Caenorhabditis elegans: one gene and its partner. The protein of the gene in region 2 interacts with the protein of the main gene of each other region in a pairwise test. Each region holds a gene or a part of one and is shown on either strand. Other genes may lie near its edges.

Evidence for each region.
Region 1: the proteins of fbxc-53 (region 2) and F15B10.3 interact in a two-hybrid assay, tested with the Caenorhabditis elegans proteins (one large-scale study listed by BioGRID).

The regions. Positions count from the first base shown.
Region 1 is NC_003282.8:6,600,538-6,604,536, reverse strand, and holds F15B10.3 (BTB domain-containing protein), read right to left. Parts: upstream 1,862-3,999; 5' UTR 1,858-1,861; coding exon 1,801-1,857; intron 1,283-1,800; exon of another isoform or gene 1,258-1,282; coding exon 1,135-1,257; intron 1,075-1,134; coding exon 679-1,074; 3' UTR 562-678; downstream 1-561. Other genes in the region: nstp-2 (UDP-xylose and UDP-N-acetylglucosamine transporter), read left to right, coding at 258-364; sup-36 (SUPpressor), read right to left, coding at 2,262-2,657, 2,718-2,831.
Region 2 is NC_003280.10:3,709,437-3,713,611, reverse strand, and holds fbxc-53 (F-box C protein), read right to left. Parts: upstream 2,322-4,175; 5' UTR 2,307-2,321; coding exon 2,209-2,306; intron 1,998-2,208; coding exon 1,139-1,997; intron 1,008-1,138; coding exon 871-1,007; intron 825-870; coding exon 659-824; 3' UTR 565-658; downstream 1-564. Other genes in the region: srh-100 (Serpentine Receptor, class H), read left to right, coding at 1-88, 226-315, 363-424; srx-110 (7TM GPCR serpentine receptor class x (Srx) domain-containing protein), read right to left, coding at 2,660-2,783, 2,830-3,032, 3,129-3,301, 3,357-3,512, 3,660-3,733, 3,777-3,931, 3,992-4,057.

The DNA of each region.
Region 1 (3,999 bases), on a different chromosome or scaffold from region 2:
TGATGGAGATCAATCAAAATATTGAAGAAAAAAAACAGAAAAGTCGTAGAAAATTAGAACACTTGCGGGTACGGTAGCTGGGAAGTTTTGGTCGTTCAGAGACCGGGTACCATATCTTTGTACCAAAATCAAATGTTTTAAAAAACGTTATGTGATTCTTTTGGTCGTAAACTAGGGCTCCATAATCTAATCTGAAAGGAAAAAAAAAGAAATACTAAAAAATCGTCTTTAGAAATCAAAATTCCTCTCTTTTTCAGCTCAACATTGGCTTGGAGCCATTCTTGTCTTTGCTGGAACTCTTGCATTTGCTGATATTTGGGGAAGTCAAACTGCCAACAAGCAAGATGAGAAGAAGAAACAGTAGATAATCACGTTCAATGTACCATGTTTCTCGACGCTTTCCAAATCCCAAAGTTTCACTGATCTGTCATTTTTCCCCGATTGCCGCTAGCTTTTATAGTGCTCATTTCTATTGCATCCTGATTCAAGTATTGTGATATTTTTTCCAAGTTTTTATAAACTATTTCAGAAACTTTAAAATTCAAACAGTGGAAGTAAATATATAGTCAACAAGTTTTATTGCAGTGAAACGAGAATTGAAAGTATTGAGGTTGTATTTAACAAAAAATCATGAAAATTAGCAGAACGAGATCGGAGCAAACTGGGGGAGAATCGGATCTATTGGACATTCTGGAATGCATCTGCTGGTGGATGAACCCATCCATCGGCTTCATCGAAAAAGTGTCCCGGTGCATTACATTCCACACCCATGTACGCAGCGATCTCCTCAACTGATTTGTCTTCCAACTTCTTTCCGATCACAAATCCCAAACATTCCATGAAATCAGTACACTCGAAGAAGTTGGCTAGCTCAATGATTTCTTTGAGCTCATCCAAAGTCTTCTGTCCAGCTTCTTTGTAGTTCTCGACGACTGTCAATTCGTGGATTGTATCATCATTTGGTGGAACATATTTTTGAATATATTCGAAGAGGAAGACACCTGCCTTCTTATTGAACGGAATTGAAAGTGGAGAAGTAACCTTGACGTTATCTTGATTCTCAAAGTCGGGGAACTGCAAAGAATTCGAGATTTAGTTTCGAAAATACTAATTTTGAATTCAGGGCTAACGTACCTCAGACTGAACCGACCGAAGAATCACTGGAACTAGCATAATGATCCCCGTATCACGTAGGGTGACTGGCTCCTCAGAGTCATTGAAGATGAGATTGATCTCGCAGGATGGCATTATTATTGGCTGAAAAAACGAATTTTTGAAAATGAAAGATTTATGAGAATGGAAAACTCCGCGCGGAGAAAGAAACAATTGGTTAAACTAAATATTACAAAAGTCTTATGAATGAATAGAAAGAAAAGATATACCAGCTGCTACGACGCTTTAAACTGTGCTCATTGTCACAATCAATGTGGAACAGTGGGAAGAAAGTCGAAAGATGTGACCTAGAATACATTGGCAAGACGTTAGAGGTAAACATCACTGCCAAGATTGCTATTGTAGGAAGAAAGGGCAATCTATGACCCTTTGTAAATTGGAAGTAGATATATATTGAACAATGTCAGATACACAATAATATCGATCACTTGGCAGTGTTCCAAATTTGCACATGTAGTATTAAAAGCAGAACATCTGGGCTGAATATTCCCATTTAAACGTTTTCAGATTAAAACAAAATTCAACTAGGAGAGCTATCATACATTTGTAAAAGCGTGAGCACTAGCCGAAATCGTCGCGATAATAACTCAGAAAAAAATCATGTGCCTTTAAAACTGAATGTCTCACTTTTTCACGGAAGTATGATGACATTGAAACTTTCAATTTGAAAGGAATAGTAAACATCGTGAGCTACGGTAATTCATCAAAATCCGGAATAACTGGAATAGGGCGAGTACCTCTGAAAATCGTGGCAACCTTGTTTCCGTGGATTTGACGTCGATTTTTTTTATTCAATTCACGGTTGAACTAATCGAGTTGATACTGTAATTTTGCATGAATCGTCCTCAATTACTTTCCTCTCTGTTGATTTTTTTGGCAATTCTGATTTCGAGTTCTTTTTAAGATTTGTGAGCACATTTCGAGAAAATCATTTTATTCATTCCTTAAAATCAATTTGAAAAAGTTCTGATAAGTATTTAATATATTACAAGGAGGTAAAAAGTGAAAGTATTGAGCTTGAATATATTTAACACAAAATCATGGAAATTGGCAGTGGGAGATCAGAGCAAATTACGAGGGGATCGGATCTATTGGACATTCTGGAAAGCGTCTGCTGGTGGATGAATCCATCCGTCTTCCTCTGCGAAGAAGTTTCCTGGTGGATTGCATTCGACTCCCATGAAAGCGGCGATCTCTTCGATGGTCTTGTCCTCCAACTTCTTTGCAATCGCAAATCCGATGCACTCCATGTAAGTGGTACACTCCCAGAAGTTGGCGAGTTCAATGATTTCTTTGAGCTCATCCAAGGTCTTCGGTCCAGCTTCTGGGTAACTTTGTTCAACAGTGATCTCATGGACATTGTCATCGGTTGGTGCAGCGTAGCGAGCGATGGTATCGAAGAGGAATACTCCAGCATCCTTCTTGAATGGAACCCTGAATGGAGCTTCAATCACCGCATTCTCCTCGGTCGCGAAATCCGGATACTGAAAAAAACGTTTATTTTTAAATCTATATTTCTCAAAAAAAAAAATCTGATATCTTACCTGGAGCTCAACAGCGCGACGGATGACTGGAAGAAGCAGGATAATGCGAGTTTCACGAACAGTGACTGACTCGTCAGAGTCGTTGAAGTCGAATTTGATCTCGCAAGATGGCATTGTTAACGGAAGATGTAGTGCAAGTTCTGAAATGATTTCGGTTAGGAAATTGTTTTTTATTGCAAGAGAATGAGGAAGAGTATTTACAAAATCAATGTTATAATTCTAGTAAATGGTAGAATGAATGTCAGAGGAATTCCAAAGATAAGCAAGAGAAAAGAAGAATATGATGAATGACTGAATAAATGCAAAAGAATGAAACTCTATGAGTATTGCGCGACGCGCTCTTTTACAAGTATAGAGAAGAAGACGGAGGGTGTGAGAGATACAACATATGACGAGGAAACATTGATTTCGAAATAGAAGGAGGTGTGCTACGCAGGATGAGTGGAGTTTATTGTTTTCCGATCGATACTGCAACCAATACATTTGGAACTTGGAACAGTGGAATTTGAACTTTCCCGATATTTCGAGTGTAGTGTAACAAGTGGATTGGAAAAACAGTGGCTGAGAAAACGGTTATTATTGTGCGATAAAAATGTTATTGCGAATGGAGCAATGAACACTTTGGAAGATAGACAACGGTAGATTTTTAATATTCTGGAAGGAGTAGTAAAAAGTTCTTTTAATTATTCGGATAAGTCTCGAGAGGGAATTCACATTCATGTAAAAATGTTTTTTCTTGAATTGGGAAACTAGAGTACTTTCAATAGATGAAGTTATTCGTAGAAATAAGAGAAAATAGTCATATTTGAAAGATCCCAAAGATCGAAATGAAAAAAAAACTTATTTTTCAGTGGAATAGAAAAAATGCGGGAATACAACCAAATAATTCAATAAAACAAGAGTTTTGTCTCATTGAGCATCAATCCATTCAAAATGCATTCATAAATTTATTAATACAATTAAAAAACTGAAAAATAATGAGAAAATTCGAAGAACACATAAACTTGTGGAAAATCAACAAATTATTTGATTGTCCGAGAGTACACGATGGTCGCTCATTTGCGCGCGGAATTCAAATTAAATAGACGCAGAGATTTTGGCGCTTCAGGGGTTCATAGCGCTTTAAAGCGTTGAGATTTTTGAAAAAAGCATGGTCATTTTAAATATGTAAAACTTTTGTTTATGTAAATACATGTAAAAGTTTTACATTTGCGTAAAGAGCGTTACTGTAAGGTTACTGTAAGCTTAGTAATTTTTCAGGAAACTTTTGAAAGATGTGAGT
Region 2 (4,175 bases):
TCAGTATTCATTTTATTCTCAGTTGCAATTATTTTTACATCTAGTTTTTATTCGCAAGAAATGATGAATCTAGGTGTGGACGTTGCAGGTAAGATTGATGAAAAGCAGCCGACATATCCCGGCTGTCACAATACTTTAGATTGATACGACACTTACCCGGGAAGTGTCGGACGCATCACATAACCTGTAAGTTGTCGGCTGCTTAGATTCATAATTATTCTTCAGGACTTCATGGCATCGGTGAAAGTATTGCAGTTATTTTCGTTCATTCACCTTACCGGAAAGCCGCTGGGCAGCTAATTTTCAGATGGAACGGTGAGTTGGAAGTTAACTCTTGCAAGTGATATAGTATACATTTTAAGATCCACAATCTAGCACACGAGTTTCTGCTGTACGGGGGAATTCCAGTGCGTTCACTATTTGAGTTTTTGATTTTTGGATAAAAAATAATTAACTATGGAGATTCAGTTTTGTCAATTGGTTATAATAAATTGTAAATAAAGTACAGTGAAAAATTGTGTTTTACTAAAAAAACATGCATTTATTTTGCGCCCGACACCTAACAGGTATTTGGAAACTTTATTACTTGAACAATTTAAAAGTAAATTTTCAAATAAATTCTGTTGTTTAGGAAGTTGCATATAATTGAATTAAAAATTTAACGAGGAATCGTGTCCCCCCTCTTCATAACTTCCATGCACAGACTCCATTTGCAGGGCTGAGGACGGGTGAGTCCTTCTTCACTAATTTTCCCTCCGCCATAGATTGCCAGCTCCAAATCCCCATCAATTAGCATGCTCAATCCGTTGGAAAAATCTGTATTTCTGAAAAATAATAGATTTTTTTTCTGAAAACACTTCAAAAACATACTCAAGCTTCTTAATTATTGCTGGATGAGCTCCGTGGCTTTCCTTCAAAAAGTCTAAAATGTCCAAAACCTCTTTGTAGTCTTCTCGAATGCCTACTTGGACTAAGGACCCTATAGGGCGGGAAGATGTGGCCCAGCTCTGAAAAATTTAAAAAAAATTAAAACGACCGACATCTACCGGGTTCCACAAAAAAACCCGGTAAGCCTATGCCTAAGCCTAAGCTTAAGTTTAAGCTTAAACCTTAGCGAGTTTCCAACGTGGAAACTTACCTGAACCAGCTGGGGAAAGCTTTCAATTATCACAATATCAGGAAAGATTTCCAATTTCTGATTTTGTAGAGCTGAGAGCAGAGTAGTTTTCAGCATACGGCTCAGGAAGGTGCCTGCCTCCACAATCCGAAGTACTGGACAATTCTGCACCAGAGGCAACATCAATAGATCAACATTCGTATTAGTGACGTTCAAGGTTAGCTTCTTAAGCGAGCTGTGATCCAAGAACGGAGCAAGTTCCAAAATATCGATAGATGCTGTTGAACTGCAGTCAATTTCTCTTACTTTTAGTGTAAGCAAATCTTTTCTCATCAAAAAGTCAGGAAATGATTGAACTTTTAGTAGTTTGATTCTCGATCCGTTACTGAAAAAAGCATCGAAAATTTTTTCATAAGCAATGTCAACTGGAATTTCCTTGGTTACTGTAATTGCCGTTCCATCTTCCTCGGAAATTGTGATTTCACAATTTCCAGTTCTACCGTGTTCCGAAGAATCTTGAAGCCGGTTTTCCCTTCGAAACCGAAGCCGTCTCTTCTCAAGACTATCCAGGTCCCCAAAAGAAAGTCGATCGGGACCCTGATTGCCCATAGGTCTCCATAAATGATGCAAGTCATTCATGTCAAACAGGGATGGGGGACCAAGGTCCATCACCAAAAGGCGATTATATTCTGCATATTCATATTCTGGTCGCCGGCGAGCCACACCTTCAGGCTTCGGGGCTTTTTCAGCAAGCTTTTTGAAAAGATATGATCTGTTCTGGATCATGATTTCAAATTTATCAAGGATAACCTCTTCGTGGGCATATGGTAGCAGAGCATTGACAGACCTGAGCTCGGGAATATGAATGTGAATTTGTTCTCTGAAAAAATATTTTATAATTGTTTTTTGTTACTGTAATATACTCAAAATTGTCCCTTTATTTTAGCCAAATTTTATCGCTTTTTTTTTGGATATTTTGAACTTCCAAATTTGAATAAATTTGAGGAATATTTAAGAAATCTCATTTTGAAATTCGGGTTTTTTAAAGTTTTTCTTCAGTCTATTTTCAAGCTTAATCACTATTCACTAACCTTTTCTTCACACTCAAAAACTTGAGAACGGATTTCAGCGAGGTGTAAGAGGTGTAATTCAACTTTTTTGGCCGAGAAGAAGAATAAGAAGCGTCCATCTTTCGGAGAATCAGGGAAGCAAAATGGGCAACTGAGCACCTTGGGGAGAGAGGGATTACGAGAAGATTAGTTCCCCCTTTTCCACTCCAATAGAGCATGATAATTATAGACGTATGTAATGTGCATGGGGATTAGGGATCAGATTTCGATTGTGCTACGACAAGCTTTTTGAAAATGTAATCTGGGTAATGGATATTTTCTTTGAATTTTGCGTTCAAAGTATTTTGCAAAAAAAACTTTAAAAACATAAAATAAAAAAACGCCAATTAACTTTCACATTTTTAGATTTTTTAAACAAGTTGTACATACAAAGTTGGGGTAAAACATGATGTTATTTATTTATTTATTTGAATTAGGAAGACACTGGAGGTAGTGAATTTTCACTATTAATCAAGCCAACTTTCACAGTTTTCCGGGTACTCGGCGTTGACTTTGGTTTCAAATTTATGCGATAGTTGAAGAGATACATTATCAATCTGAAATATAGAACACATTTCCAAAACTTTGACATCAAAAGCTTACCCATCAACTACATATACCATCACATCAAACCCCATACTGACGAGCACCGCACAGACATTCATCTCACAGTATTCTAGGGATAAATGGTTAACCGCCACGTCGACCATGCAAATCCAATCTTGGAAGCATGATTGGAGAAAGAATCTGATGTTAGACCTCCGCCGACTTTTAGCGGACTCAGAGGAGAGGGATTTGGAAGATTTCTGGAACAAGAACATTCTCTCACAAACCCCAACAGAAGCACTACAGTACCCTACCGTAGTCCAATCTACAGTAGTCCTACAGGCTTAAAAACTCACCGAAAGACAGAATAACTTGATAGCTATCAGGATATTCATGAAATTTGTAGAAACTGCCAATACTAATAAATAATATATCAGGAAGCTTATCAAAGCCTCAACGCATTGATAGTCATTTTCTGAATAGTCGGGAAACGGTACATGGTCGAAGCTGAACGGGAAACGGCAGATGTCTGAGATTCTTTTTTTTTTGGTTAATTGAGTTTTTTCACTTCGTAGAAAGTTAACCTGGCATTCCAATTAGAGTAGAAAACCAAACTGTGAAAAGCCATGATATTGCCATTGCGGCTACTGTAATCCGGGTACTGTACCTTGGAGTGTTAACCGGGGAACACCATACCACAAGAAAGCGGTTAATGGTTATCATTAGTTGGGTTGTGGGGCCTGAAGTTGATTATTGCAACGCTCAAGTTTGCGCGCCAACGAGGTGTGGGTGCCGACCAATCAGAGAAGTGCCGTAGGCGTGGCCATCGTTGCTGATTGGTCGGTTTGATTTTATGCTGCGCGCGTATTCAAAAAGTCTTAACCAACCTTGCAAATAAAGTCCGAAACCCATTGCCTGATTCAGATAGCCGCTCAACGTGTCAGATCCAATCGCGGCGTAACTAAAAAAATTTGAGCTTGAACCGAATCTCTATAATTACCTACAAAGCATTAATAGGCCCAATATAACCAAAATAGATAAGTAGGACCAAAGTATTAGAGATGGATTTCGACGAGCATAGAATGTAAAAAACAGTTTTTTCAAGCGATAAAAAGTGATAAAACATGAACAAGTTTATCAAGACACCCATGGAAGCTGCCTAAAAGTTTTAAATTTTGGTTTTGTGAGTCCTGAATTGTAAATACAGAAAACCACTTACAAAAATCATGTATCCTCCAACAATTCGTGTTGAAATTTCATCGGAATCCATTGTCATGTTACTCATTACTTACTAAGTTACTCAAAAACATGGAAGTGACTATAGTAGTATATATTTTGATCGAATATTATATTAACTCTAGCAGACTAGTTTTCACATAAAAATAACACTTATCTAGTATCAA